7 linked regions of the Danio rerio genome follow. The protein of the gene in region 1 interacts with the protein of each later gene in a pairwise test. Links are inferred from orthologs where the notes say so. Each region holds a gene or a part of one and is shown in the gene's direction. Other genes may lie near its edges. The genes, in order: fxr2, sytl4, lcp2a, pcbd1, RNA-binding Raly-like protein, necab2 and baz2ba.

Region 1 (4,808 bases):
CAGCGCCGCAATCGAAGCCGCCGCCGCCGTAATCGTGCCAACCGTCCTGAAGGAGGCTCCACCAGCCGTGACCGACAGCCAGGTGATTAATTATGTACATTAATGAGAGAGGAGGAACGGTCAAATGTAGGAGGAGCACCAGCATGGAGAGGAAATATTAAGTTGCACAATACACATAAATCATATTCTGTGTTGCCAGTTGTGTAGAAATAATGCCAATTCAAAGCCATGTGTTTTAGTGCTAATAATTTATTATAACTTCATATAACCTGATTGTGCAGAGCTGCTTGAAGAGAAGTACACTTGTGTATATAATAATAAATAACTAAATATTCAAAAACCCATCCAAAAATGTGTATAGATGTGTAAAATGTGTCGGCAGATGGTTGGATAGGGTGAGATTCTGCTTCTGATCATATTTAAAGCTAATTTATTTTGACCATATAATTGGGCTGTTGTTGTATATTATTGTAAATAATTTGGGTGGTTAATATGAAGTCATGTCTTCTAAAAGATGTGAATACAGCTATAAGAGCTGTTTCAATGCTACAAGATTTGAGTCCACCTGTTTGATCTCCCCTGCTGCTTTCCCTCTTCTGACTACTGTTGCCGGTGTTGTTGGTATAGTTACTGTTGCTGACTTCATCTCTCGTGCCGAGTCCCAGAGCAGACAGAATCTCCCGGGGAAGGAGGCCAACCCACACGTGTCCCATCCTAAGGTCTGCACATACTACAACACAAGACACATAATTATGCATGATTGTGAACGTCTTTACTGTGCATGTACGTTTTTGTTTTGTTTTGTTTTTTTGGTAAAAATTTACTATGACAGTTCATAAATTAATGTATTTACTAACATGAAAAAAACTTTAAGTAATACATTTATTACATTTTAGCTAACATTGGTTAATGTTATTAAAGTTACCTAACGTTAGTTTTAGTCTTAGGCCTGTTTCACACCGCAAGCGTGAGCAGAGCGTGAGCAGCACGTGTGTTTTCGGCGTCCATGTTAACAGATTAGAGCTTTCATACCGCACGCAGCAGCAGCGCATCAGAGCGAGGCGTGAGCGTCGCCGAAGCAGCAGTGCAGCGATAGTTTCGGCACTGGTTCTATTTTTGACGCGCTGCTCACGCTCAATTAAAGTGACAGTGCATTGATAATGACCAAAACACATTGAATGACAGTAAAAAGTAGCAATTTTACCCAATAAATGTGTTAATAATGTCAAATGGTTTATATATAGTCATTCAAATTAACTTAAAACGATTAAAAACGGCAACAAACATTTATTTAGGCCCAAACTACAAAACCAAATATAAAACAATTTTAGTATCAGTTTTGCTTAAGTTGCACACTAGTGTTGTAGGAGAGGGGAAATAGAATATTTACGGGATTTGTAGTCCATAGCGAAGTGTATTGTGGGTAGTGTAGTTCGACACGCATGCTGGATTATGTGAGCTCGCTGTGTTCTGTGCAGCTAAGCAGAGGAAGAAAGTTTTAATCGGCTTTGTTTTATGTTCACTCGGATTATTCCTACCGGGAGCTGTTTGCACTGTGAATCTGACAACACGAAAATAAGTAAAAGAATGGCATGCATTGGTTACTTTTGTCCGTCTCATCCTCTGCACGAGCATGAATTAACGAGCTGTTATTCTGCCGCTGGACATCACTGAAGCAGAGAAAGTAACACTAGTTTGATCATGTATAAATATCATTATAATTATATTGTATAAATATTATTATAACTAGGTCTACAGCAACCTGATAATCAAAAAACAAATGACATGATATCACAGGCAATTGTCTTTTGACTGTAGACACTTCTCATATAAGTTAGCTTAAGAAGCAGACAGTACTATTTGATCTATAAAATTTGTAAAATAAACATTTGCAGGTTAAAGAAACAGCATAGGAGGGGCCTTGGTGCAGATGAAAAGTTTAAAAAGTGTATTTGTATATGGAGAGACATGGGTAACTAGATTGAATAGACAGAGATAGGTTGATCTCTGCAGCAGCTGCCGAAGAGCTGCGCGCTGCAGACGCAGCTGGTGTGAAAGGCAAACGCCTGCGTGCTGCTACTGCTTGACATACACGCTGCGCACGCTCTGCTCACGCGCCGCTGACGCTTGCGGTGTGAAACAGGCGTTAGCCCACAGTCCATTATCTAATGTTAACAAGCACAATTTTGGATCTTAACGCAATAGTAAATGTTAAACTGTGATTAATGCTTTACAAGATTATTCATACTTCGTTGATGGGAGTGTCTGTCTGTCTGAATATCATTATATATGCTACATTCTGGCCTGATTGTTACTTTTACAAGTATTGCTTTTTTGAAAGCCGAGTAAAATGTCTGTGCCACCATTATAAAATATTCAAAGTAATCTTTTGGGTTAAAGCACAGCTTGACTAGCATTAGACTCAAAACATAGCATCAACAGTGTTTTATCTCTCTCTCCATCAGGAAAACGGGACCAGCGTGAGTAAGGAAGAGCGCACTCCTTCAAAGCGCTCGCCCAGTAACGGCGTGGCGTCGCCCGGTGAGGCTCTGGCCATGGTGAACGGCGTCTCCTAAAAAGTCATCTCGCCCCCTCAAGACCCACGTCTAAAGCAAGACACCATGGCGAACTCTGTCCCTGCTTGCATTCACGTAAACCTTTAAACTGACGAATGAAAATCGACTAAAATCCTTGAATTCATGAAGTCTACGAGAAAACAAAAAAAAAAAGTAAAAATACGACGAGCGCATCTACTTTAAACCACACATAACGGTGTATGTTTATCCTATCTATCAGTACTTAGTGCTTATTTAAGACAAGCTTGCCAAAAATGAGCTGATGGATATGACTCAAATTTCTGACGTAACACAGAAAACAGGACGTGACTATTTTGGGGTTTCGTTTTAGATTTTTTTAGTTTTCGTTGTTGCTGTTGTCGTTGCCGTCATTATTTGTTTTCGTTTGTTTGTTTGTACTCACTGGCGTGGGATTGTGAACACACTCCCCAACAGATATAGCATCTCTGAAAACAGTGTTAGCTAAATGAGGGCGGAGCTAGCGGAGAGGATTGAAGGCGGAGCCTCTCACGAGTGATTGACAGCTGAGTCTGTGGTACTCTGAATTTAAGGGCAAAAAGGGGAAGCGGAGAGACATTGTGCCTTGAATTTGAAAAAAAAAAAAAAACTTGAGTATTTTCTTTTTACCTTAACGTTTGCGTTCTCGACTGGATGAAGTAGATGGTTCCGTTTTGTTTTTGGTGTTTTTATTTTGTCTAAAGGATGGAGAGGATTGTGCGGATTAAGAGGAGTGCGGATTTTGGGGGAGAAGAGCGATAATTAATGCCAAACATGAAATTATGACATTTGTCCAAGGTCGTTATTTGAAAGCCGTTTAATGTGTGTGTGTGTGTGTGTGTGTACGAGTGTGTGTCTGTTTGTTCATGTGTTGTTGTGAGACATGAAGTAAAAGTGTATAAATTGGGAAGGACGTCATATGATCCAGGAGACGACAGTAGAATCCTAAATGTGATTCGATCTCTCTGATTGAGGTGGCACAAGTCTTTCCCAATAGAACAAGACCGAGACGGAAACAATCTAACAGACAGTGTTGATCATATTCAGTATTTCAACAGCCCACCATACGGTTTTGGGGAGAAGGGAGGCAGGATTATTGTGAGTGTAAAAGCTGGCATGCGTGTGCACACACACTCTCGGTAGCTTCCAGCCACCGCTGTCTGAAGGGCTGGATGGGGTTGAGGCCTCACCGGCGCCCCCTCTGGTGTGTATGGTTGGTCTTCGGTAAACAGTGAAACCCTTTTCTGATGAAGAGTCAGGCATTCGTTCACACACATACATGCATACATCCGAGAGCATTGTAATACACTCCAGTGTGCAGGAATGGAGCTTGGGTCTCTGCTCAGGAGGTTCAAGCGTTGGTTGTATTTCTGGTTGTCCCGATGAAAAGGGGAGGATTGTTCCCTTGCTGTTACTTGTCATCTTGGTTCCTGCTCTCAAAGATTGTTTTTTTTTTCTTTTCTTTTTTGGTTGTACTTTCCACATCATGAAAAAACAAAAAAGATTAAAAAGGAAGTGAAATAAATTATTTCTGGAATGACACCTGTGTGTGTTTTGCATTCTGTTTTCATTTCCGTCTGATTTCAGTTACGCGATTGATTGATGAATGGGGAATAAAAACGCATCGAAACTAGTAAAACTAAAACTTGTATTAAAAAAGCAATGATTTCATCTAGGACTTGCTTGTTAAAAGATCTTGCACAAAAAGACACATTTCACAGATTAAGTCAGAATTATTAGCCCCCCTCTATATTTATTTTCCCCAATTTATGTTTAAAGAAAAGCTTTCACACATTTTTAACACAATAGTTTAAATAACTCTTTTCTAATAACTGATTTATTTTATCTTTGCCATGATGACAGATAGTTTTCAAGATACTGTTAATTAAAGGCTTAATTAGGTTAATTAAGCAAGTCATTGTGTAACAGTGGATTATTCTGTAAACAATAAAAATAATGCTTAAGGGGGCTGATAATATTGACGTTTGAATGGTTTAAAAAAATGTAAAACTGCTTTTATTCTAGTCAAAATATTACAAATTAGACTTACTCCAGAAGAAAAAATATCAGATATACTGTTAAATGTTTTTGCCCCAGAAGATATCACTTGAGAATTATTTGAAAACGGATTAATATTTCACAAGAGGGCTACAAGTTGTTTTTTTGAACTGTATATGTAGTCTTTTACACTCACCGGCCACTTTTTTAGGTACACCTTACTAGTACGGGGTTGGA
Region 2 (4,196 bases), on another chromosome or scaffold:
TTACATTACATTACATTACATTATATTATATTGTATTATATTACACTTTTTAGTGTGCTATGCAAGCCTTGTATCTTCACTGGTTTAGAGGATTTTTGAAATTTCACTCAGAAATTAAAATTAAATGAAAATTAAATTAGCATGTTAGAATTTGTGCAGGAGAATGTGTAATTGAATAACCACTGAATACTCATGTAATAGCTCATAAAAGCCACAGCTACCACATACATAGATGACAATTTAAATATTAAAATGTATGTATTAAGTATATTATGTATTAATTTTCCTATACTGTAATTTTGCAAAAATAAATAAAGGCTGCCTTAGTGATTATATAAAATATGATTAAATTATTTTTATATCAATTTATTATTATTATTAAGAAAGAATTTTAAGTCTTAAAATGGTTTAATTTAAACAAAAGTAATTTTATAAAGCATTTATACTTTAAAATACGTATATTGTCTTGACTTTAAAGTTATTTCATTTAACTTATTCACCTTTTTTATTCACCATTTCAAAGCTTGACAGATTGAGGACTTGTTTCTTACACTTGTAACATAGGTAAACGTACTTTCAGCCATCTATGATTTCCAGTAATAAAAAGCAAACATAAAGATTAAAGTTAATATGCCTATATTTGATTTATGTGGTAGATGCAGGTGTGGGAATATCTCTGTTTTCCTACTGTGATATTGCCATTGCCTGCCATTGCTAACCAGCACATTTGCATGTTGAGCTGCATGTCACAGGGCGTCACTGTGTGCTTGTTTAATTACTAGAGGATCTTCTGACATACTGACAGACACTGCATGGAGAAACCGAGAAAGGTCACTCCCCTTATTTGTCAGTTCTGCTCCAGGTCTCTACCCATTTTACAAACAGCAGAGCTTCCTTTTATTTGTGTAGCGCTCGTTATATAGATATTACTGTCTTCCCTTCATTTGTAAGAAACAAATGACCTGTTCTTCCCAGTTTGGTGAGCTTCTGTATTTATTATATGTCTGTAAAGTAAGTGTTACGTGTGGTTCTACAAGTTTCTTTAATTTGCGTTTGTGTTGACACTTATTATGTTGGCTTAATGCATGCTGAGCTGTTTGTTTGATTTTTATTCCTCAGAAGCAGGGCTTGACTGTTGAAGATGGTGCAGAACATGGAGATCAACGTGTCCTTTCTGACTGACTCGGAGCAAGAGTTTATACTAGAAGTCCTCCGGCGGGACGAAGATTTGAGGCATTTGGAGGACCTGCGTGTGAAGTGAGTTTCACAGCTCAATCAGTCTGTATTATTAAAACTTTATTATTAAAAATAAATGATGTCAACTTACATGGTTACATTAAAACTTAAAATGTCAGGTTAAATCTTGATGAACTTGTGTTAATAAATAAAAGTAAATTAAAACATAAGTTGTCATTATGTGTTTATCATTTAATTTTACAGTGTTAAAATAATTTTTGATCTTAAAATAACCCTTAATTAATGATTACTTAAATATTGCTTACTTATCTCTGCTTAATTTGTGGAATTTATGGTAGTAGTAATAACAATATTAAATATTTATTTCAGTTAGATACATGAATAAAGAAATTATTTTCTCTCCAGTGAAACTTTAATACTTTTTTCAAATGTCTTCCAAGTGATGTAACAGACCGAAGAAACTATATTACACTATATTTTATTATAGTTTTTTTCTGGATATACAGTGTTTCAGATAATTGAGTACACGCCTTTTTGAAAATGAATATTTGTATCCATTTCTCAGTGAATATAGGCAATGTATTTTGGTGTATTTAAGCAAAACAGATTTATTGAACAGATATATTTATTGAAATAATATTTTAGTCACCAAACATATTTAGAAATTAAAAGAATACTATTAAATTCAAGCAAAATATTGCAAAATAATTACAACCTGCACAATTTCAACTAAATGTTTCAATTTTTTTGCTTCTGTTGATTTTTCCTCTTGTTTTTTAAAATTTGTATTTAATATTTTTCGATAACATAAATTTGGCTGTACTAGTTTTTGGACTGTTATTGTATGTTATTTTGGTAGATAAGCTCCAAATTTGGCTTCAGTACTGACTAATCTAATGTATATGCAGAAATATAATATTGTATAGCATCCTAAAGAAAATATTAATTCAAAAGATTTGTGAGGGCCTGAGCACTATGGATGGATGGACAGATGGATGGACAGTTAGATAGATGGATGGATGGATGGATGGATGGATGGATGGATGGATGGATGGATGGATAGATAGATAGATAGATAGATAGATAGATAGATAGATAGATAGATAGATAGATAGATAGATAGATAGATAGATAGATAGATAGATAGATAGATAGATAGATAGATAGATAGATAGATAGATAGAACCTATTTAAGCCTTTCACTTTAAGATTGCACTTTAAGCTGAATACTAGTATCTTGCAAAATGACTAGAAAAATATCAGATACTGCCGTACTAGTAAAGGCACTATGAATTGGTTATTAGAAATTAATTACTAAAACTTATATATATAAAAATATTTTGAAAGTAATTTTCTCTCTGTCTCTTATATATTTAAAAAATAATTAAAAAATGTTTAGAATGGCTAATAATTTTGTCTTCAGCTGTATATATAAAAAACTTAACAAAATCAACGCAATATAATTTAGTTGAATATTTATTTTTTAGAAATCAGTCACATTATTTAGGGCTCAGACTCAATTTTATACAGACCCAATTTTGTAGTTTTTGTACTATTTTTGGGTTTAAGAAAAGGATGTTGGTCACTCAAATAATTTTGTGTATTAATTATATGCTCGCTTATGTTCCCATAGGAAGCTGAAAGCCGAGTTTCTGGATATCAGAAGAAAGGGTGCAAAACGTGGCAGTGGGAAATACAGTGAACGCAGCTGTGGCCGCTGCCAGGAGCCCTTGAGCCTTCTAAGCGGCAGCGGCAGCCAGTGCAGATCATGCAAACATCAAGTCTGCAAAAAATGCCAATCTGTTCGACCCAATGGATCATGGGTGTGCACAGTGTGTGCCAAAGAAATGTGAGTGTGCACCCCATGGCTCCCAGCATCCCGCTCTTTGGCCTCAGTCTATTTAGAAACCTATCATTAAGAGGCACATTAGGCTGGAAAATGAGGCCCATGCTTAATGGAAAAAGTTAATGTTCAACAAAAGTTTTTTATTATTCTTCCCTCTCTCTCTCTCTCTCTCTCTCTCAGAGACCTGAAGATGAGCACTGGAGACTGGTTCTTTGACGAGAGGGTTAACCGCTTCTCTTCAGCTCCTGGACATGACTTAGTGCGAGTGTCCCTCAGGAAGAGGCCTCTGAGTGAGTGCAGGAAGCTAGACGGTCTGATGAACTATGTGCAATGTGAACTAACTTCAACTTTCTGTTTTTACAAGGGGTGGAAAGCAGATTTTTTTTTGTGTGTGAACAGGAGAAAAGAATGAGTCCTCTGTTTACTTGAGGGTTAAATGGCTGGCAGTTTGTTTAGATTAATCATTATACACCACTTCCCCATTCTGAAATTTACATCTCTCTGTTCCAGGTAAAAAGCATGAGACAGCTGGGGAAATACTGTTAAACAAAGTTGAGCTGAATCCCAGCCAAGCTGCGCCTGTGCCCAAACCAAGACTAAAGGACATTGCACTTGCCAATAAGAGGTGTGTAATGTAGTCTTATGTTGATACTGATCAAACATTGAAATGTGCTTCATTTAAATATTGACCACTTTTTATCATCTCGTGGATGATTTTATCATATCACTTTGCTCTATTAATATCCACACAGTTCTGTGTTAAAGAGATAGTTTTCCCAAAAAGCTAATTCTTTTAATATTTATTAAACATTATATCATTGCAAATGCACACAAATATTTAGAGAAACTTAACAGGTCTTTGCTGTACCACAATCATGTCCACAGACATTAAGCTGCAGTAGGTGAAGGTTTTACTTAATATTGTTTGATTACATACAAAATTAAATAGATTTAAGAATTTTAACACCCAAGCTGTTTAATTTAAGGGCCTATCAACTAATATATTCTACAAGACATAAGGAAAAATAACAGCATATAAACTCACTGCCCACTTGACATAAATCGCCTGATGCTCGATTTGAGCTGAAAGCCTTTACTGTGTCTACATGTCTGCTGCCATGTGATTTACTGATTATATATTTTAATAACAGTT
Region 3 (4,696 bases), on another chromosome or scaffold:
GACACTTTTAAACAGTCTAAAGTGACATTTAAAGGCTTAACTAGGTTAATTAGGTTAACTAGGCGGTTAAGGTAATTAGGCAAGTTATTGTATAAAGTTGGTTTGTTCTGTAGACTATTGAAATAATATATAGCTTAAAGGGGCTTAGACTTTTAAATGCTTTTTAAAAAACTGTTTTTATCCTAGCCGAAATAAAACAAATAAGACTTTCTCCAGAAGAACAAATATTATCAGACATACTGTGAAAATTTCCTTGCTCTGTTAAACATTATTTGGGAAATATAAAAAAAAAAAAAAAATCAAATGGGGGCTAATAATTCTGACTTAACTAACTGTACATATATTTATTATATATTTGCTATTGTGTATATATTTGTAAATTTTGTTGAAATGTGTACATCAATAAAAAGCTATATATTTTTAAGCAAATTAAGCTTATAACCAAAAGACTATTACACAGTAAACAAACAAACATGTTTTTATATTAATTTAACACAAAATGCGTTAATCAATCACGTTTTAACATTTCAATTATCTGAGATTCAAATTGATGTTTTATGTCAGTTGTCTTTCTTGTAACATAAGTTTAAATGACTTGTAAATTTAAAATCAAACCAAAAGTGCTCAGGCGTAGCTTAAATAATGTGTCGGTGATCTTTGGGTAAGGGATTCATCAGAAGAAACTGCAAAAGTCACTCCAAAGCACTTGAAAAATGTGAAAAAAAATTATAAAAAATGGTTTTAAAATATTTTTTTTCACTTTTTTCAAGCACTTATTTTTACAACTTGAAAATTTTATTTGATTCAACAAGTCAGCATCTAATTCTTTAAAGTGACTAGTAAGATGTCAAACACACAATTTGTTCTTAATTGTCCATCTGTGTTATTATATTACTATCATTGTTCATATTACTATACTGCCTGTTTATTATAAAGCACATATTAATGTCTTATTCCAGTCTTATTTAGATCCCTTGTTAAAAAAAAAAAAAAAAAAAAAAGAAGTGGTTACAGAATATTCACTTTCAAAAATGTTGGGTTCCACACAATTCCTTCATGTTGTCTCAACACAAATCGGTCAAGCTAACTTGAAAGTTTGTACAAATTTATCTGGATTGAACATAAAACAATTAAGTTGTTTCACAAAAAAATCCTTAAGAATTGTGTCGTTTCAACCCATTTCAAATAAGTAGTTTAAACAAACAGCAAAAGTCCTTTTCTAAATGTTTCGTTGAGTTGAATTAACCTTACAAGCCAACTTGCATTGCATTAAATTGATGTAAAGCAGCTCTTATGACTTAAAAAATAAGTCGAAACATGCTTAACTTATTTTAGTGAGTTACACATAACAACATAAAATAAAAATTAAAAGTTGTAATAAAAAGTTTATTTTCTTACAGTGTACGCATGTTAAGACAACCTTTCATATCATGAATAAGTGACAATCAGGCGGTTATTGAAGGGGAAAACTCTTATTGGTGAACACATGTAATATTAAGATTTTTTTTTTTTTGTGAAGGGGCTGTACTTCCCCTATTTGTCAAAACAATCATTAACAGGAAGTCTATGGGGAAGTGGATGTCATTCTTTCTTTTCATACTCAGCTCAGGCAAATCCGGGGTGTTGGGTTTTTTCGTGTTTTCAGAAAATGTCGGTTGAATTTTGAGTAATTTCTTTAATTTCTGGATCGGCAACTGGGTGATTCTGTCATTATTTGGCTTTCTTTGGTTTGTTTTTTTAGAGCTGACACGTTTGTCTCCTCGTGTTCGGTGTCAGACGAAGTGTGAACTCAATCTGAGAGTGGTTGCTTTTTTTTTTTTTTGGATGCTTGTAGGCATTTAGGATTTTATATTCATCAGTGAAAAACAATGAGTTTTGGAAGTTTGCCGTCCAAAGCCGAGGTTCTGAACTGGGATTCACATAGCTTGGCAGACTTTTTGAAGAAGGTACTGTAGGTTACTTTCTCTTTTTGTGTCTTTCAATTGTGTAACTTTAGAATTAAATTGTACAATGAAATGGGTTGAAATGTAAAAATATTGTTGTGTAATCGGTTGTTGTTTAATAGATGTTCAGTTCAGATATTCTGTCATAGATGTTTAGCTTGTATCGACTTGGTCAGCACATACAGCATGCTTTTAAAGATATTTACCACATTTATTCATTATTTTTTGGATGTTGGATTTATACACACACGATAAGTATATAGATTCAATAAAATGGAATTCAGTAAATGTATGTCTTTTTATAGGCATTCACTAAATGTAGATGATCTATAAATACTGTATTCAGTAAATATATAGGGCCTTTTAGAGACATTCAGTAAATATTTGGTCTTTTAGAGACATTTAGTAAATATATAGGGTCTTTTATATATATATATATATATATATATATATATATATATATATATATATATATATATATATATATATATATATATATATATATATATGTAAATATATTGGCCCTTTTATAGACATCCAGTATATAAATATATATATGGTCTTTTAAAGACATTTAGTAAATATTAATGGTCTTATATATATTCAATAAATATATAGGGCTTTTTAGAGACATTCAGTAAATATAGATGGTCTTATAGATATATTCAGTAAATATGATCTCATATATATATAAGCAAAATCACACGAGTAGTGTGCTATGGCTGTACATCAGCACTGGTGGGAGGCGTGCGTTGGCACAAGGCCGCAGGCCGAGTGCCTTAGCGCCCCACCAGTGCTGATATACAGCCATAGCACATTACTCGTGTGATTTTGCGTTTATAGCACAGTTCGACGACAAAATCTTGTACATAAAAACGAAAATCAAACACAAGAGTCTAAAACCCTTTTGTATTAGTAACTATTTTCTTCCGCCATTCATTCACATCTGCAGCTGATGTCAGAACAGCAGAAGCCATTACTAATTCACCAACGTCACTTTAGAGCTAGCATTTGATTGATTCTCTATAGCGTAATGGGAAGCAGCGCTTCTGGTGTGTGACCCCACTTAAGGTGATGACAAAACAGCAAATTTTGCTCACATTTTAAGATTATAAGGCTAAACGTGACATGAAATGTCATCAGTCTACAGAGATTTCTCACCAGACTGCTGTTGTGTTTGCGATAAGGAGGAACAAGGCTGAATCCAGCTTCTTATTCGCAGCTTCTTATTAACTCTATCCGGTCCATCTTAAAAACCATAAGGCTTCAGTTTTTCAGCTTTTTATATGCGCTCAAGAGAACACACTGAGAAAGGGCTTATTATGCGGTTCTGGCGCCATCTTGTAGATAGACAACGTCAACCGTCTTTGGCTGCTGACGAGGTCTCAAAAATTGTAAATATTTTAAAATAGGCACTATTATTACAAATAAACTGCATAGTTGCAATCTAAACAACTACATTCTCGACTAAAAAAGCCTCAAAAGTACATATTGTTGTCTAACAACAGTAATATTTGTCAAACTGTAGCCTGCTTGTTGCTTGCTGTAAGGGCGGAGTAATACACAGAGGTGAAGGGTGAAGAGGCCTCTGTGTGATGTTACTGGCAAAATATCGCATGGATATTAGCCAAACAGATTCAAGAACCAGACAGAACTGTTGTTTAAATGAATATATACTAATGAATACATACACATACAGTAAATGTATAGGGCCTTTTATAAACATTCAGTAAAAATAGAAAATATTCTTTCCTCTGGAGAAAGTCTCATTTGTTTTATTTCAGCTAGAATAAAAGCAGTTTTTATTTGTTTATGAACCATTTTAAGGTCAATATTATTAGCCCCTTTAAGCTATATATATTTTTAATAGTCTACTGAACAAACCATTGTTATACAATAACTTGCTTTAATTACCCTAACCTGCCTAGTTAACCTAATTAACCAAGTTAAACCTTTAAAAGTCCCTTTAAGCTGTATAGAAGTATCTTGAAGAATATCTAAATATTGTGTACTGTCATCATGGCAGAGATAAAATAAATCAGTTTTAAGAAACAAGTTATTAAAACTATTATTAGAAATGTGTTGAGAAAGTCTTCTCTCCATTAAAAAGAAATTGGGGAAAAAATAAACACAGAGGCTAATAGTTCAGGGGGGCTAATAATTCTGACTTCAACTGTATATTCAGTAAATATTTAGGGCATTTTAGAGACATTTAATACATATACATTGTCTTTTTTTAGACAGGTCTTTTAAACCTTCTTTAGATAATCTTTTATTGGAATTCAATACATACATATGTTTTTTTTTTATTGGTCATGATGACCTTTAATAGACAATTGGTAAATATAGACTTTCTTTCTAATAGATATCCAGTACATATATTTTGATTACTTATTTTTATTTTTTATATTTTTAGTAGATATTTTTTTATATACATTTACAGATGTTAAGCACATTTGGGCATATTTATGTGACATTTAGCACATAGACTCTTAAAATGCAGTTCTTATTCAACCCAAATATGGACAAACCAAACAATTGTCCATATCTGGCTCACATTTGTGCTGAAACAACTTTTTAGAGTGTACAGTAACTGTTTTCTAGACATTCAAGACATCAATGTTATTTAAAAGATATATATATATATATATATATATATATATATATATATATATATATATATATATATATATATATATATATATATATATATATGTATATATGTATGTGTGTGTGTGTGTATATATATATAT
Region 4 (3,630 bases), on another chromosome or scaffold:
GCTGACCAATCAGAGCCTCCTGAGGGCGGGCCTTTCAGAGGAACTAGGAAATTTGACAGTCGTTTTTATGTTAGCTGAGCAGCTGTATATAATATGATAATATATATAAATAACATGATTTTCTACAAATGAAGCATGAGCACACATTGTTTTGCATCTTATAACCGCTACCAAGCCTTCAAAATACACGTTGGACCACTAAGCATAATTACCCCAGAGAAACGATTGTTTAGATATAACGTCTAATACACTTTAAAGGAGTTCAAAGAGTTGTAAAGACATTTAAAATGTTCTAGAAATAAAAGGGCCTTCATTAGGGCTGCACAATATTGGACAAATGGAATATTGTGGTATTTTAGGTTTCTGTGATTTTATGTATATTGCAATATACTGTATCTAATTAATTTCACCAAATGATTAAATAGCAGGATTTCTAGTCACACTTTATTTTAAAGTTCAATTCTCGCTATTAGCAAACCATTACCTATGACTTTTGCTCATAATTTGCTTCTCAACAGATATTGAGTTAGTTTAGCTATTGGGTTAGGGATGTAGAAAAAAATCATGCATATTTTGTACTTTATAAGTACTAATAAGCAATATTTTAATAACAGTCCCTAAAGTGTTATCAAATGTGTTCATTTTGATTGATTGGATGATTCTGCAGATCAGTGAATCATGCATAAAATGTAATAAACAAACTACAAGCATAGATTCATGCAATAAAGCATAAATAAAAGTTAAATAAAAGCATGCATATTGCATATCTATGCGATGTGACTATTGCGATATCGATGCTGAAATGATATATTGTGTAGCCCTAGTCTTCATCCATATGGCCTTTACCTGACAATCTGCTTTCGGAGAGTTTCAGACACTTGTATGAGAGAAATCATCTTGCAAATTAGTGAAACTAGACAGTTTGACTCCAAGTTCAATAGTGTTTTTCAGAAAATTACCACCAGGTGCCAGAAGTGTTCTCAAATATTTGATCAGGGTTCTTTTTTAAATATCTAATTGCACGTTGTTGTTTTTTAAATACTGTAATTCAGCATATATTTAAATCATAAAATATGCTCAAATATATATACATTACTATTTGGCTATCTTCAAATAGAAATGCAAAGCAATAAAAAGGGCTTGCAGCAGATCGTCATTTGACAATGGTTTAAATAAATAACCAGAGTGCTTTAAAATACTCAGGCAGGGAAGATTCAGACTCTGACTATGGAGGAACGGGAACATCTCCTGCCCATGATGAGGAATGCGCAGTGGGTGGAGGTGGGGGGCAGAGATGCCATTTACAAAGAGTTCATCTTCAAAGACTTCAACCAGGTAATTAATCCGCCAAGAGGAAGCTTTTCACACTATTATTTACTGTGTGCGCACAATGTATGACACTCACTTTTGTTTCTCTCTTCAGGCTTTTGGGTTCATGTCCAGAGTTGCTTTACAGGCTGAGAAAATGGATCATCATCCTGAATGGTTTAATGTGTATAATAAGGTAAACAGATGTGTAGTATTTCTTTATGGTAAATTTAAATGGAAAAATTGTATTTACATGACATTTCCAATTACCTTGTCTGAAAAGTAACTTAATTACTCAAATACTTAATTAGTAATTCAGTTTCTACATGAATTATAAATCTCTATATAAAACAATATAAATCAAACTCTTTAAATTCTTTAAACGTGATTTAAATTTATACGGCATTTTAGTTTTCTTAAATCAAATATTTAATTGTAAATAACTTATGTATCCAAACACCACTATCTCTCATAAATACCATATGTATTATTAATTTCTCACTTAATTAATTGTTTAATAAGTGTATTATCATCTTGATCAACTATTTTTCAAAATATATTTATATAACAAAAAGTACAGTTATTTACCTTTTCTGAGTTAATTTATCCAGAACTATTTAATTTATTTACAGTATTTAAGACGAGCACACATAAGTAACTGTAATTAAATTATTAATTACATTTTTAAACTACTTCATTTATTTTCTTTCGGCTTACTCCTTTAATTGTCAGTGGTCGCCACAGAGGAATGGACCGCCAACTATTCCAGCATATGTTTTACACAGTAGATACCCTTCCAGCTGCAACCTAGTACTAGGAAACATCCATACACACTGATTCACACCCAAACACTATGGCCAATTAGTTCATCCAATTCACCCTTAGCAAATGTCTTTAGACTGGGGAAACCCATGCGAACATAGGGAGAACATGCAAACTCCACACAGAAATGCCTACTGGCCCAGCCAAGAATCAATCCAGCGACCTCCTTGTGTTGAGGCGACAGTGCTTATCACTGAGCCACCATACTGCCCCAGCAACTTTACTTTATCAATGGATAAGTCATTTAATTATGTTAATTAGTTACTTTGCCACTAATTACACCAAACACAGATTGAGGATGACTGCATTAGACACTTTCACCCTTTATATTACATGTGCGGATTAATTGTCAGACCAGGAATGTGTATGAAAAGATAAACATGCTCAATTTAAATTTGACGTATTCTGTCTGGTAGGTTCAGATCACCCTCAGCACTCACGAATGTGGAGGACTCTCACAGCGAGACATCAACCTCGCCACCTTCATAGACCAGGCCTCTGTCCTGTGAATGGAACCTCTCATTAAACTTCTTCAACCCCTCTTACCTATAAAACTGGACCAACGATGTTGTGAAACTTTCCGGAGTTATCAGCATATCAGTTTTAGCTGTGTGTAGTTTGGCTGTTACAGGTGCATTTTTCTTAATAAGGAAGTCAGGAGAAATGTAAACTTAAATCATTTCACATTCTGAGTGTATAAATATGGCACAGATCTGATCTGAAAATTGCTGAAAAACTGACATCACTGTGTTTTATGGTTAAATCTTTTCTTTTTTTAAGTGAAATATACAGTGCCTTCATTTGAATCCAGCGATAACTGCTTAGTGCCTCAGTCAATTGTAAGTGTATTAAACTGAACGTTTGCCAACGCTGGGATTCTGAAATCTGTGTATCATCTGTCAATGCACTTGCCTGTCATTTAAACAATTAAGGCGATGTTGTTATCAGATTTAAAACACATTAAGAGAAATGGAAAAGAACACGTAATGGATGCCAGGTAGAACGGTAGATGTTTGAAAACCTGAACTCCCATGGAGCTAAGAAATAGTCTATGGTTTAATCTATTAGTACACCAACCTCCCTTGCCAGAAATGCTGGTTTGAATCCTGCTCGAAGCGGGGCAAGTTGAACCTGAAGGATTGCTTTGGGGCTGTAAACAAACAGGATGATTCGTAGATTGTTAATCATAACAAGTGGCATCTCTTTAAAAGTACTTGCAAAAATAATTTTTAGCAATAATACATGTGTAAAAAAATTTAAAAATACTTGCAGGATCAGGAAAGCTCTTCAGCTGCAATATTGTGCTACTAACATGATGTGCAGTCTGCATTCGTCTGCTTGTAAGTGTAATATGTTTTAGTAGGTTTTGGCAATTCATTTGTAATTACCAGACCCTTTATTTATTTAAATGTGACAAAAAAATGCAAATTCCACCACTTTTCCAAGCCGCTAAATTCTGAAATGACTTGAATTGTTTATGGAAATGTCAAGTCTGTATAG
Region 5 (4,196 bases), on another chromosome or scaffold:
ATCAACATAGATGTTAATCCAGGAACATTGGTGGTATCAGGTTGGCGGTTGTAAAATGAGCCTATTTCCTAAAAAGTAGAGTGTTTGTTTAGTATATTGATCAAAAAGATTTTTAGCCAATCATGCCAACATTAGGCAGAGCACTTGGCCTGGATGTTAAGACAGTGCAATCTTTTTTAAGAATCAAGGTATATATATCATAAGACGGCAATTTAATTTTGGTTATCTCTGCAATTGCTGTTCTTTCATCGTGATAAGAAAACAGTACAGTATCTTATCCCAAAATCTTTATAAGATGTGAAGGTTGAGTCAGGGTCGATGTACATACTGTGAGCATTTTTGCTCCAGAAAGTTTGCTCCGGTTTTGGTGGAGAGTTTAAATAGAGCGTAACTGGGAGTAAAACCTCCATTTATGTTCTCCATAGGGAAACTGCCTTTTAAAAATGACTGATAAACTTGCCTGTTTTACACTATTTGCTTTTGTAGAACTCATCATGTTGGAATAATATTTTACAATAGTGAAATTCATGCAGTAATTAATTCTCATTTATACTATACCGCTTTCTTTTAAAGCCTAGATTTTTAACACTTGCCAGCAGGAAGTTGGCAACCTCTTGGATTTTGATAAAAGTAAAAAATGATAAGATAAAAACGAATGACAACAAATATTTTTGTTACCTAATTTAATCAGTTAATCGGGTTTACTTTCTTTTTTGTTAAATATTGTATATATAAAGTTAAATATAAATAAGTATAAGTATAAATATAAATTTATATAAGTATTTTTTACAAGTAAATTTTATATACTTTATATCAGTAAATTTATATAAGTATAAATATAAATATAAATAAGTTAAAGTATTTTTAACTGACGCAGTTTGAGATGACTAGAAAAGTTTACTTGAATAAACAACAAAAAAGGCAGCAAGATTTTTATTTGTGTGTGTACATGTGTGTTTGTGGGTGACAGTGTGTAATCATTCATTCTGTTTTATATTTGAAGTACAGGTCAGAATAAGTATTTGGTTTCATCTTTACATGAGCAATATCACACGAGGAGCAGTGCGATCTGGCTGTATATTGTCACAGGTGGGAGGTGTGCATTGTGTCCCACCACAATACAGCTACATTGCACTGCTACTTGGGTGATATTGCATTTATACAACAGTTCGACGGCATAATCGTGCATATAAAAAAGAAAATCAAACACTGAGAGTCTAAAAACCCTTTTGTATGAGGAACTACTTTCTTCCACCATTCATTCACATCTGCAACTGACGTCTGAACAGCTGAAACTGTTGCTGCTTCACAAACGCCACTTTAGAGCTAGTGTTTGAATGATTATCTAGCTTAATACCTAAAGTGATGACAAAACAGCAGATTTTTCTCATATTTTAAGATTATGAAGCTGAACAGCATGAAATGCCATCAGTTTATAGAGCTTTCCCTGTGTTTCTTTGTTGCAGTCGTGATGTCCCTATTTAACCCTGAAACAAGCCAAAGCAAAGCAAGCACTACCAGAAACACTACCAGAAAGTCACTTACCTGTTTTGTAATGATTTAATCAGTTGTAGTTTTAAATTATGCTTATTTTTTGTCCTCTAAGGCAGTGGATCCCAACCTTTTTTTTTTTTTGCCTGAGAGCCCCTTTTTCTCCGGAAAATATAGTAAAGCCCCCCTCCACATTTAATGACATAATCGCTCATATAAGTTTGCAGTAATGATGACAAAAAAATATTGTTTTCAAACAAACGGTATGATTATTACTATATCTACATATGTTTATGCACAAATAATAGCCTAATTTTTCCCAGAGATGGGTTACAGTTGGAAGGGCATCCACAGTGTAAAACGTATGCTGGATAAGTTGGCATTTGTGATCTCCATCAGATGATCTTCTTGCACAGACATGGTGGATTCGCCTGATTGTTGACAAGTGGGTTGCAGATCTATTCCTTGGCTGTTTGCGGGCCCTTTTCTCTTAGCAAAGAAACTTTCTAAAGAAGTCTGTTTCTTATGCCTAGTTCAGACTGACAGAAAGTTAAAAAAAGTTAATTTATTTATTTAAATTAATTATATGAAATTAATTTATTGTCAACTTAAGTTGAGGAGAAATGGCTAATTCCCTTCAAACCCAGGTGAGCCAATATGTACATTTTCTACCCCATTAATGGCTTCTTTCTCGTTATGTAGTTAATAACAAAAGATATACTATGTCTTTTTGGCTGTCAGACGTTGTTTAGACGAAGTTGTCGGCGATTCTTCCTATAGTAAAGTCTTGCAATGTGAAAACCCCTATCGCTGATCCATCTTGCAGTGTAAACAAAGCAGCGACGAAACACGAGCCCAGATAGTCATGCAGTGTGAAAACATATGTGACACGACTACTTTGAAAATCATGCAGTCTGAACTCGACATTACTCATTTTGCTGCTTGTGGGTTAAATTTGGGCGAGAGAATACGGTAATTTTTCAAAGTAAAAGACCTCTCTTTTAAATAAAAGATTGTTCAGACTCAGATTATAAACAAAAAAGAAATAATGAATGATTTCTTGTGCGGCCCGCTACCAACTGATTCTAGGACCGGTGGTTGAGAACCACTGAGCTATAAAATAAAATTAACTAAGACAACATGATCATTCTCCTAATTGTCCACTTCTAAGATTTTTTTTTTTTTTAATATGACACAACCCCCCACAAAGCTCACTGAGGCCCCCTTGAGGGCTGCGACCCCCCTGTTGGGAACCTGCTCTAAGGGCTTATTATACAGTCTCTGTCACTATCTTGTAGCAAAACATCAACCAACTTTGCTCTGCTCAGTATGATAGGCTGATGGATGCAGACGTTATAAATCTCAGAAATGATAACTATTTAAAATAGGCACTATCCTTATAAATAAACTGCATAGTTGCAATTTATACAACTACATTCTCACATAAAAATCATTAAAAGTACATTATGTTGTCCAACAGCTGTAATATTTGTCAAGCTGTAGTGAATTCATTGATCTGCTGTCACTCACTGTGGGCGGAGTAATACAGAAGGATGAGGTGGCTGTATAAGTGCTGTTATTGCAGAATACCACACTGCTATCAGCCAATCAGATTTGAGAAACAGACAGAACTGTTGTAAAAATAAATATATCAATAATGCCTAATTTTACACATATTTTGACATCTTATTTTCACAAAATCTACATTTAAGAAACAATAAAGTAGATCCTAGCTTTCCTACTTCACATATTCCCTTTTTACACATGTATTTTGATGCAGACACCTTGACCCTTTAGCACAGGGGTCACCAACATTAAATACAGGGTATTTCCTACCCTGTTAAATCATTGCTGATAACTTTTGTGAGAATCATTAACACGATCAGTGTCTTCACATGGATGAATATCATTAATTATTATCAAATACATAAAGTATAATTAAAAGTAAATTGAGCAAATGTGTTATTTGAGAAGTGTTTATCAAACTGGTAGCCCTCCACATTCATAATAATACCCAATAAGTAGCTCTCAAAATCATTAAAGTTGGTGACCCCTGCTTTAGCATAACCAGTTTGCATCAGACTTTTGGATTAAAATATCCACATATAAAAACATTATCTGTATCAGGTGTGTTTGATGTCGTCCCCATCATGTCTGTGCTTCGCAGGAGAATAATGACCGGCAAGACTCAGACCAGCAATGTCACTAACAAGAACGACCCGCGCTCCCTCAACTCTCGGGTCTTTATCGGCAACCTCAACACCGCCATCGTGAAGAAGAGCGACATCGAGGTCATCTTCGCCAAGTACGGCAAGATCGTGGGCTGTTCGGTGCACAAGGGTTACGCTTTCGTCCAGTACATTAGCGAAAGGAACGCAAGGGCCGCCGTAGCTGGAGAAAACGCCAGGATAATCGCAGGACAGCCGCTGGGTGAGTGCCTGGTTTTCTTTTCTTTTATTAAAGCTGGTGCTTTAATTAATCTACCTTTTTCTGCACATGATGACCGTGTATCAAATTATGGATTCCCTTCCTGTTTAGGGAGCTTCCATTCAAAACAAGTTAAGCTATTCACTTCAAATAATAAAGGTGTTATAAATAATACATATGGATAATGGAAACTCTTGGGGAGTTTTTTTTTTCTTTGGTCTTTATTTTTTCCTTCATGAAAACACACCTAATCTCACAATAGTGTATTAAATAGTTCA
Region 6 (4,829 bases), on another chromosome or scaffold:
CAAGATCCAATAAAGCACATAATAATAGTTGGATAGACCTAGAAACTGATTTTTTATCATTATTTTTAAAGGTCTTTAATCGTACATTTTTATAGACTTTTAGTGACCTTATTCTTCACTGTGGAAGTGTACTTGTTTTTGCAATTGTTTTAGATATACCAATTTAGCTGCCAATAGAGGAACTCATTCATTCATTCATTCATTTTCTTTTCGGCTTAGTCCCTTTATTGACCTGGGGTTGCCACAGCAGAACGAACGGCCAACTTATCCAGCATGTGTTTTACGCAGCGGATGCCCTTCTAGCTGCAAACCATCACTGGGAACCCATACACTCTCATTCACACACCTACACTACAGACAATTTTAGTTCCAATGGCTGCACCTGCTCGTACATTAAGAATAAGGTCAATCGTGAAGACAGGAAAGCATAGGGAGCAGAGAAAGGGGTAGTATAGGCAAAGGACCTTAAGCTGGGAATCAAACATGGGTGCTATATGTCAACGCACTAACTACTAATCCATTGGTGCCAACAAAACTGAAACTTTTTTGTGGATTTCTGCCATTCCTTTATAATAGAGTGTTTTAGGGGCCTGGAAATGCAAACATTTCAGATTGTGTTTCAGAGAGAGTGTCTACAAAAACTATACCATTTTAATTTCTGTGTACAAAATACAAAAATATTTTGTCATGTGCATGCATATCAATTTTTGCTGATACAGTATGAGCAAATGGGAACACTATTAACAACATTGTCTTTTTGTATGCCAAAAACTTTTAACTTAATGCAAAGACTTCACAGTTTTTTGTACATTTGGTAAAATGGGGGTTTTGTTTAAAAAAAGATGCAAATTTTTTTTCATTCAGAATTATAGGTTTTGGAACCTAGAAGTTATTCAAGTGTTTCTTTTCACTTCTTTCCACAAGGTAAACATGGTAACAGTTTGCCGATTTGTTGACAATGTATGGCACAGGTGTCAAACTCAGTTCCAAAAGGGCCGCAGCTCTGCACAGTTTAGTTCCAACCCTAATTAAACACACTGATCAAACTAATTGAGTCCTTCAGGCTTGTTTAAAACCTACAGGTAAGTGTGTTGGAGCAGGGTTGGAACTAAACTGTGCAGGTCTTCGGCCCTCCAGGAATTGAGTTTTACACCTTCTGAGTATGGTATGAATCACTGAAAATGTATTTACTGAAAGCAACACATACTCCATAAATTATAATAATTTGCTTCATCATAAAACAATAATGCACATGCATAATATAGACTTGAATGTATATAATCAGTTGTGTCTTCTTAAGTTAGTGGAAATAAGGGGATATTTAATCTAAAAATGAAAATTCTGTCATCATATACGCCCATCATCACAATCAGGGTAACCATTGGCTCGTTTTTCGCGGGGTTATTCCTGGGTTTTAATACAGCTACCGTTAAATTGGCTACTTTACAGAGATGAAGTAGAATATTTGGTAAAACAGGACTAAAATAACTACCATCATTAATTCAAAAGTTATTGTCTGCTATCAGTTCTCTTAGTTGATCCTCTCTCTAAATTGCAAATAATGCATTTTCTCTCATGTATTGTATCTTATTCTACTGCAACTGTACTAAATTCATGGCATTTACTTAACTGCTCCAATTTGGAGTGTCAGAAGGGCTGAGTTTTGGGCTGGGAGCCGCTGATGTCATAGCAGAGGGAGGGATCGCCCCCATAGCGCGCAGCATGAACGCTCCGCGGCAAAAGGATGTGTGAACAAGCAGCGCGCTACTGCAGGGACGGCGTCCACAAACTGCTCCACAAAGAACAAGCAAAACTCCGGGCACAGGACAGCAAAGACCAGCCCACACCCGGGGCTCAGGACAGCGAGACAGCGACGGCTGCACAGTCCGGAAACAGCGGCGCACAGCCCGGTGGAATAGACGGGCTCGTCCGCTGGATAGTCACCAAGATGAGCGACAATAAAAGCATCTCTACCCGGGAATACGCGAAGGAGGAGGCGGCGGTGGCTCAGGAGCAGTTCTTCGCGCCGGAGCCTCGAAAGGGCATCTCAGTCATTTTGGATGTAGGTGTTTCATTTTCTCTGTGTTATGAAATATGAAGTGCGCGCGACCGTTCAACTTTTATTCGGTTTCCCGAATAAAGTAATGAACTAATTTATTCATTAATTAGTTGATTAATTCAGTAACCTCAGAAGAGTTTTAAGCATTAATTAGACATTAATGACTCATACACAACTAGTAAGCCTTTGATGCTTTGGGAATACAAAAAGCAATTGCACTTTATGAATTTATCTACTTTTAACTTTTAATTCTGTCTTTATTTTTTCTTTCTTTTATGCATTTCAGTTGCATGTTGTTATCTAACATGCTTTGCATACTTTAATACATGGATTTTGTAATTCTGATTGGTTAGTTGCAAGCAATCAGTTTTTGTACAGTAACCTAATTGGACATAGTTGACGATAGAAACATACCAGAAACATACTACTTTCGCATATCTCTCCGCGCACTCGGAAACTAGTGCCACCGAGCGATTTTAAATGGTCATCAAATGGTGATAAAAATTGTCTAGCATTAAATTTGGTGTCTGTCTAATTCGCAAAAAGCCTAAAACAATGGAATGGTGAGTCTTAAAAGTCCCTAAGCAAGCAGAAGAGCTACACAGAAAGACAGAAAGTTTAAAGATTAAATCTAAATTTCAGAAAAACAAATTTTCATTCAATGTTTTTGTTTAATTTATTACTATTATATGATTGCAGTGTCCTAATAACGCCTATATAATGGACATTCTTAGCAAAAAATCTAGAAATACAATGAAAAATAACTTAAATAAATAGTTTTTGTTCAAGGTAAATCATTTGAGTAGCCATTTTTGAAGAGTAAAATAATTTACAGCTGAAAGACCCCCCTTCAGGATGAGATAAAGCCCTCCCAATGGCACTCTATAACTGCATGCACACGCGCTGTCCCAGCCGTATCCAAATACTGTTCAGCTTCTCGAATGTGCACTAGAAAAATCAACCCAATTATAAAACACACCAAATATTCTCTAGTAGCTACAACGCTGCATACATTTGACTGTACCTTTCAGCATCTTGAGCTTATACAACAGTTTTCTTTTGCTCTGAATTTATCTCAGAGAACCTAAATAATTTATTGTGCTTTTCCTGTGAGCCTGGCAGTTATGCTTTGTGGTTGGCTGCTGTGGCGAGGTCTCAGCAGTATTGATTTAGTAGGTCAAAGTATTGCCTCAGTATTGTTCTTCATTGGTGCTGGATAATTATCTGATGGACATACCTCTCGAGATTTCCACATTGCTTTTAGGGGGAGAAGTTAAAACGTTTAAGAGAGTGATAATAAAGTAGTTCAGTTCCAGACCCAGATACAGTCTCAGGTAACCAGAACATATAAGGGGACGAAAACTAATTAAAAACCTCAGGAAAGAAAAGCCAAAGGCACCAGATGCACCCTAGTGTAAATACAATAGTGGAGGCGGGGTTATGCAGATAATGAGGTGCTGTAGATAATTTGTCTTTTATGGATGGTGAGCATGTGTACACGATTTTCTCGTCGAGACTTAAGATACGGAGCACAGCTGCTTGTAAGGGAATTGATTTCCCCCTATACTTTCTGAGAGAATTCCATTACTTATCTCAATCTTGACACGTCTTCTGCAATGTCTGTTCCAGAATCAGCCTGCATTGGTAAACAGCTGAGCGCCATTCATTATTAGAGTTTATTCTGAAAGTGTCTGAAGCAGCTATGCAATTGTAAAGACCCCATTTTCATTTCTGAAAGCCTTCGATTCAGCGGCTAGACCAGTTATAGATTCAGAGCGTGTCAAATGCTCGCATCCCTGGCTTCCCCAAACCTGACAGTAGAGCACTAACAAGCTGTCGTAAAGAAGGCTATAAGTGTGTTTCGCGCTATTGCTTTCTTACATAATCATGCCTCTGGTCCCAGACCTCATCTGGCTTTAGGGAGTAATTAAGTGCATTTAATGTTTTTGAACATTTCGTTTCCACTGGGGTTGAATGGTGTGCGCTAAATTACAGTAGTTTATGCTGTAGGACGCACATGTGTGAGAATAGTTGATCAAATGGTGGCAGCACGTGACATTTGCTAAAGACTTCATCGCACTATTGACTTGAACTTTAAAATACAAATATATCTGGCATTTGTTCAGTGGATTGGATTTGAGCCAAAGCACGGAGAATCAATCCAATTGACTTGGCAAGTATAAATGGGAGTCCCGTATTAGTGCCTATTAATTGAATCCATTTGTCACTCTCCCGTTTAAAGTCTTTGTCAATCTTTTTCTTTCTTTGGCTGACATCTCATTCTCTCTTGTTATTTGTTCCAGATCCTTTTATCGACACTAAGAGTTAGAGTTAGTTTGCAATACTTTATTCTTACTTTTTTATATTTTTATCATCAAAAATTAATTAATAAAACTTAATAGATGGGATAGATCAGGGGTTTTCAAAGTGTGAGGCGTGCCTCCCCTGGGGGGCGCCAGAGCATGTCAGGGGAGGCGCAGGAAAAAATATAATATAATAAAAATATAATTATTAAGTTTAATTATTATATGTATTTTTTATTATATTTAAACGTTTTAATTAAACAAAGCAAAAAAAAAAAAAAAAAAATACGTCAAATATAAGAAAACCTTTTTTACCCAGAAGGCCATAGCTGTGAATTCGCTTCTGTTTGGCAAGCCCGCCAATACAGGTATATGCCTGCTAGTACAATGGGTCGGTTTCTGAGAACCCCCCGATTCAAAGCTGTAATGTAAAGTTCACGGCCCTTTGGCCGCCGGGAAGAAGGAGG
Region 7 (4,196 bases), on another chromosome or scaffold:
ATTACATTTCGTAAAATAAGAAAATATGAATAGTAATATTAGTAAAAGCTATTATTATTATTATTATTATTATTATTATTTAATTGTACTAGATAGATTTACAGTATAAGAAATTTTACTGTACGGATTATTGTTATTGTTTATTGTCTTCTTTTGAAAATATTTCACCAGGAATCTTTTACTTTGGCTGTTAAATCTGCTCTTTTGTTGACACCAGCAGATTTATAAGCACTTGTTGTTAAATCTGAAAGGATTTTGGCATGTGCTGAATTCCGAAATTCATGTTCTGGGCATCCTAACCTCAAAGCAGTTGCAAAGAGTTTGTTTGGAGCAGGTTTACCATGTGCTGAGCCACTCCGGGACACATGCAGAATACATTTATGAAATTAATCACACATTTGGGATTTTGATGTTGTTGTGGTGGTGTAGTGTACTGTACTGTAGTGTAGTGTAGTAGTAATTTTGTTTTAATCATGTCACCCTATGGTATTTACACATACATTCACCCAAACACACTTACATTCTCTTTTTGTCTGAGTACAGCAACAAAACCTAATCCGCCGGAAGCTGTTTGAGTCGTCTCACGCCCTGCGGTCCATGTCATATGGACAAGACCGGTTCCGCCGCAGATACTGGATCCTGCCACAGTGTGGAGGAGTTTACATAGAGGCCTTAGAGAGTGGAGAAGGTGAGGCTTTTACAAAACAAACTCCATGTAACGAATACTCCATGATTGTATGTATGTATTTATATATGCAAAATATGTGTTTATGAAAAATGTAATATTGACCGATTGTCACTTGTGGCAAATTCATGATCTAAATGCTAGTTTTTTTTATTCTCTAGATTTTTAAGGTACCTTATATATCTATATTCTTATTGAGAGCTATATATAGTTAGTGTATATATATATATATATATATATATATATATATATATATATATATATATATATATATATATATATATATATATATATATATATATATATATAAATTAGGGGTTGAACAACTGCAGATTTTTGGAAGCTGACTTTTATGTTATTAAAGTCGAGTCGACGTCGACTAGTCGCTGGTGAAATCATCAATAAAACACAAGACGGAAATATTTTGCTACACACCAGAATTTTGTATTGATTTGGAGGAAATACATAACACATGCTGTTTGACAGCCCATAACACGTTGCAAGAACAATTCAACCTTACCAATGACTAGTTTTAGTGGACAACGAATGGATTGTAAACAATTTGTTAAAAGCAACATCAGCACAGGCGATTTTAAGTGCAAAATAAATGCGGTCAACACATTGATCATGGCTCATACTGCAAAGAATGTAACAATAACGTATATATTTAGTGCAAAAAAATGCATACACCATCAGCACACTGTACATAAACATCAATTCATGGCAGGATAATTATTTCATAACAACATAATGCAAGAAAGATAAAGGCTATAAGCTGACTTCCTGTCAGACTCCTGCTCAGACGCATATTTTGCCGTTATGCCAAATACGGCAAAAAAGCTGATCAAAATCTTGTTCAAGTCACGCTTTTTTTCACAGTTACTGGCTCGTCTTGGTTATTGAAAATCTCTCACATGTATTTTAACCATGCTCACCTGAGATGATGCTTACACATGACGTTTGCAGCACATTTACATTTAAATTAATTTTCATTCACACATTTAAATTAAGTCTCATTCGGTAAACCTACATTCATGTGTAAGCTGCCATGTAGTTCAGGTCTCAAAAACCATATGATCTATTCTACTGTATATACAGTATATAAAAAGCATACAAGCTACAGAACAAACCATCGTTATACAATAACTTGCCTAATTACCATAACCTGCCTAGTTAACCTAATTAACCTAGTTAAGCCTTTAAATGTCACTTTAAGCTGTATAGCTGATATGTCTTAAAAATATCTAGTAAAATATTAATTTCTGTCATCATGGCAAAGATAAAATAAATCAGTTATTTATAATGAGTTATTAAAACTGTTATGTTTAGAAATTTGTTGAAAAAATCTGCTCTCCGTTAAACAGAAATTGGGGGGAAAAATAAACAGGGGGGTAATTATTCATGGGGGGCTAATAATTCTGGCTTTTTTTTAACCATTATATAGAAAAGAGCAAGCAGGACTTTATTTTTATTTCAGCTTTTTTGTAATCTTAAAAAAAACATAAATAATCATAAATAAACAGAATTTCATTTTTGACAGATCTACATCATTTATTTGACAAAAACTTTGTTCCTCCCTCTGTTCTTCATGTAGGTCTGGAGGAGCTAGAGAAAGAGCGCGAGAGGTTGAGGAACTGTCCGGTTGTGCAGGTCAAAGAGGAGCCCAAGGAGGAAGTCCTGCAGCATCATCAGCACGAGGAGATACAAGGGACACTGAAAGAGGAGGTCAAACAGGAGGAGGAGAAGCCCATGGATCTGGACCAGGAGCCAAATAAAGAGGCACGCTCCTCCCCTCTAAAAGACAAAACAGATGTTGTGGCCACACCCCCTCAACTACCAGAACTCCGCCTCTCACAGAGCCCTCAGTGTCAGGAGCCACCTCACACGCCACGCCATGCCCACAACGGCTGCTCGGCAACAATCGCCATGGACATGACATCAGGATCGTCTCCAGCTCACTCTCCAACTACCTCCAAGCTGACCGAGGCCAGCAGCCCAAACGCAGAGCACGCAATCCCTCCGCCTCTGCAGCTAGGCATCCCTGCGCACCTCCTGCAGCCGCAGCTGGCGCAGACTCAGCTCCTCGCCAGCGACCAGCTCTACAAGGTTCTCAGCGAGCGCAGCGGACACTGGTTCAGCCTGCTGCCTCGCTCACCCTGCGACGACACTTCCCTCATCCAGCCGTCTGCGCACCCGCAGTCCTCGCCTAAAAGCAACGCCACAAACACACGGCCCAAATCTCCACCTCCACCGTCTACCTCTTCCCCGCACCATCACCTGCTTCCTCTGTCTGCGTCTGCAAGCCCACTGAACCCCACAGCTGCAGCCGGGATCAGCAACCTCAGTGTGCAGGTAATTAGTACAAATATGCCCCTCTTTACAAGATGCTAAATCTCTGATGTGCCTACTGTGCGTATGTGAAGTTTTAGCTCAACATACCCCCACCATTTTTAGGTTTTGATCCAAACTGTGCTGTTTGGGTGACTTTCACTTTAATTCAAATGAGATTGAGCTCTTTTCAAAAGAGGGCGGAGCTACAAATTCCTGTTTCTCAGCAGATTCAAAACAGGACTATTGTTATCTCAGTGAAAATGTCAAAATAAGTGGCTCTGAAAAAGGCAGTCCGTGGAGACTAGAGTGTTGAGTTGTGCATTATTAAACTCTACATTTATAGTCCTCTTAATCGCTGACATTACCTTCGGCAGGTGTGAAAACTCTAATGGCGGATGGCTGCTTTTCACTCAAGGCTGTTTATGCTAATGAAGAAGAAATTGTCACTACTGGGCGGAGCTTTCCCCCTCTGATGACATGTTTAAAGGGAAAATGTCAATCAAAGTGTTTCTGCAGACTGCTTTTATTCATGTCTAGGTGTATAAAATAGAATTAATTATTTTTTACCATTAAAGGCTGGCTATTTTCACACATTTTTTGCACACTACTATGTTTAAACTTTATACATTCCTTATAAAAGGGATATTTGCATAATTGGTCTTCTTTAAAGGGGTGGTCCACTAGGATATCATATTTTAAAGTTTAGTTGATATTGTAATATTGTTGTAATGCAGCTGTATGAGCATAAACAAGATCTCTGAATGTAATATACTCAAAGTTCAATGCAAAGGGAGACATTGGCTTTTACAGAGTTAGCTTAGCTAAGCCTACAGCCAAAGAAGTTTGGGGACTACAAAAAATACACCCGGGTTAATGATGTCATAAACCCTTCAAGTTACACACACACACACACACACACACACCCCACACAGTGAAGGGGCGTAGCCAGAGGCGCTGTAATGATATAACTGAGACGCTTCTTGGTGATGTGGAGCTGATCTGCAAATCACAGAACATTATGTTAGCTGACCAATCAGAGCCTCTTGAGGGCAGGTCTTCAGAGGAACTAGGAAAAATGACGTCGTTTTCATGTTAGCTGAATAGCTGTATATAACTAAAGTAAGATATATGAAAAAAGTGTGATTTTCTACAAATAAAGCATTAGCACACATTGCTTTGC

Evidence for each region.
Region 2: the proteins of fxr2 (region 1) and sytl4 interact in binary tests that used the Homo sapiens proteins (3 or more experiments, as listed by UniProt). The two-hybrid records come from large-scale screens. The link is inferred for Danio rerio from reciprocal best matches to the Homo sapiens genes FXR2 and SYTL4.
Region 3: the proteins of fxr2 (region 1) and lcp2a interact in binary tests that used the Homo sapiens proteins (3 or more experiments, as listed by UniProt). The two-hybrid records come from large-scale screens. The link is inferred for Danio rerio from reciprocal best matches to the Homo sapiens genes FXR2 and LCP2.
Region 4: the proteins of fxr2 (region 1) and pcbd1 interact in binary tests that used the Homo sapiens proteins (3 or more experiments, as listed by UniProt). The link is inferred for Danio rerio from reciprocal best matches to the Homo sapiens genes FXR2 and PCBD1.
Region 5: the proteins of fxr2 (region 1) and RNA-binding Raly-like protein interact in a two-hybrid assay, tested with the Homo sapiens proteins (2 studies listed by BioGRID and IntAct). The link is inferred for Danio rerio from reciprocal best matches to the Homo sapiens genes FXR2 and RALYL.
Region 6: the proteins of fxr2 (region 1) and necab2 interact in a two-hybrid assay, tested with the Homo sapiens proteins (2 studies listed by BioGRID and IntAct). The link is inferred for Danio rerio from reciprocal best matches to the Homo sapiens genes FXR2 and NECAB2.
Region 7: the proteins of fxr2 (region 1) and baz2ba interact in binary tests that used the Homo sapiens proteins (3 or more experiments, as listed by UniProt). The two-hybrid records come from large-scale screens. The link is inferred for Danio rerio from reciprocal best matches to the Homo sapiens genes FXR2 and BAZ2B.

The regions. Positions count from the first base shown.
Region 1 is NC_133182.1:22,740,744-22,745,551, forward strand, and holds the end of fxr2 (fragile X mental retardation syndrome-related protein 2), read left to right. Parts: coding exon 1-82; intron 83-627; coding exon 628-719; exon of another isoform or gene 720-947; intron 948-2,150; exon of another isoform or gene 2,151-2,465; coding exon 2,466-2,576; 3' UTR 2,577-4,113; downstream 4,114-4,808. UniProt on the Homo sapiens protein: mRNA-binding protein that acts as a regulator of mRNAs translation and/or stability, and which is required for adult hippocampal neurogenesis. Specifically binds to AU-rich elements (AREs) in the 3'-UTR of target mRNAs.
Region 2 is NC_133189.1:40,027,115-40,031,310, forward strand, and holds part of sytl4 (synaptotagmin-like protein 4), read left to right. Parts: intron 1-800; exon of another isoform or gene 801-979; intron 980-1,119; 5' UTR 1,120-1,141; coding exon 1,142-1,257; intron 1,258-2,830; coding exon 2,831-3,046; intron 3,047-3,223; coding exon 3,224-3,333; intron 3,334-3,553; coding exon 3,554-3,668; intron 3,669-4,196. UniProt on the Homo sapiens protein: Modulates exocytosis of dense-core granules and secretion of hormones in the pancreas and the pituitary. Interacts with vesicles containing negatively charged phospholipids in a Ca(2+)-independent manner.
Region 3 is NC_133196.1:32,961,574-32,966,269, forward strand, and holds the start of lcp2a (lymphocyte cytosolic protein 2a), read left to right. Parts: upstream 1-1,583; 5' UTR 1,584-1,868; coding exon 1,869-1,946; intron 1,947-4,696. UniProt on the Homo sapiens protein: Adapter protein primarily involved in signaling pathways within T-cells, as well as other immune cells such as platelets, mast cells, and natural killer (NK) cells.
Region 4 is NC_133188.1:28,941,714-28,945,343, forward strand, and holds the end of pcbd1 (pterin-4-alpha-carbinolamine dehydratase), read left to right. Parts: intron 1-700; exon of another isoform or gene 701-867; intron 868-908; exon of another isoform or gene 909-1,203; coding exon 1,204-1,335; intron 1,336-1,423; coding exon 1,424-1,504; intron 1,505-2,546; coding exon 2,547-2,639; 3' UTR 2,640-2,999; downstream 3,000-3,630. UniProt on the Homo sapiens protein: Involved in tetrahydrobiopterin biosynthesis. Seems to both prevent the formation of 7-pterins and accelerate the formation of quinonoid-BH2. Coactivator for HNF1A-dependent transcription.
Region 5 is NC_133199.1:37,020,398-37,024,593, reverse strand, and holds part of RNA-binding Raly-like protein, read left to right. Parts: intron 1-3,658; 5' UTR 3,659-3,665; coding exon 3,666-3,921; intron 3,922-4,196.
Region 6 is NC_133193.1:22,796,560-22,801,388, forward strand, and holds the start of necab2 (N-terminal EF-hand calcium-binding protein 2), read left to right. Parts: upstream 1-1,730; 5' UTR 1,731-1,744; coding exon 1,745-2,062; intron 2,063-4,829. UniProt on the Homo sapiens protein: May act as a signaling scaffold protein that senses intracellular calcium.
Region 7 is NC_133181.1:12,941,309-12,945,504, forward strand, and holds part of baz2ba (bromodomain adjacent to zinc finger domain protein 2B), read left to right. Parts: intron 1-543; coding exon 544-688; intron 689-2,279; coding exon 2,280-3,037; intron 3,038-4,196. UniProt on the Homo sapiens protein: Regulatory subunit of the ATP-dependent BRF-1 and BRF-5 ISWI chromatin remodeling complexes, which form ordered nucleosome arrays on chromatin and facilitate access to DNA during DNA-templated processes such as DNA replication, transcription, and repair.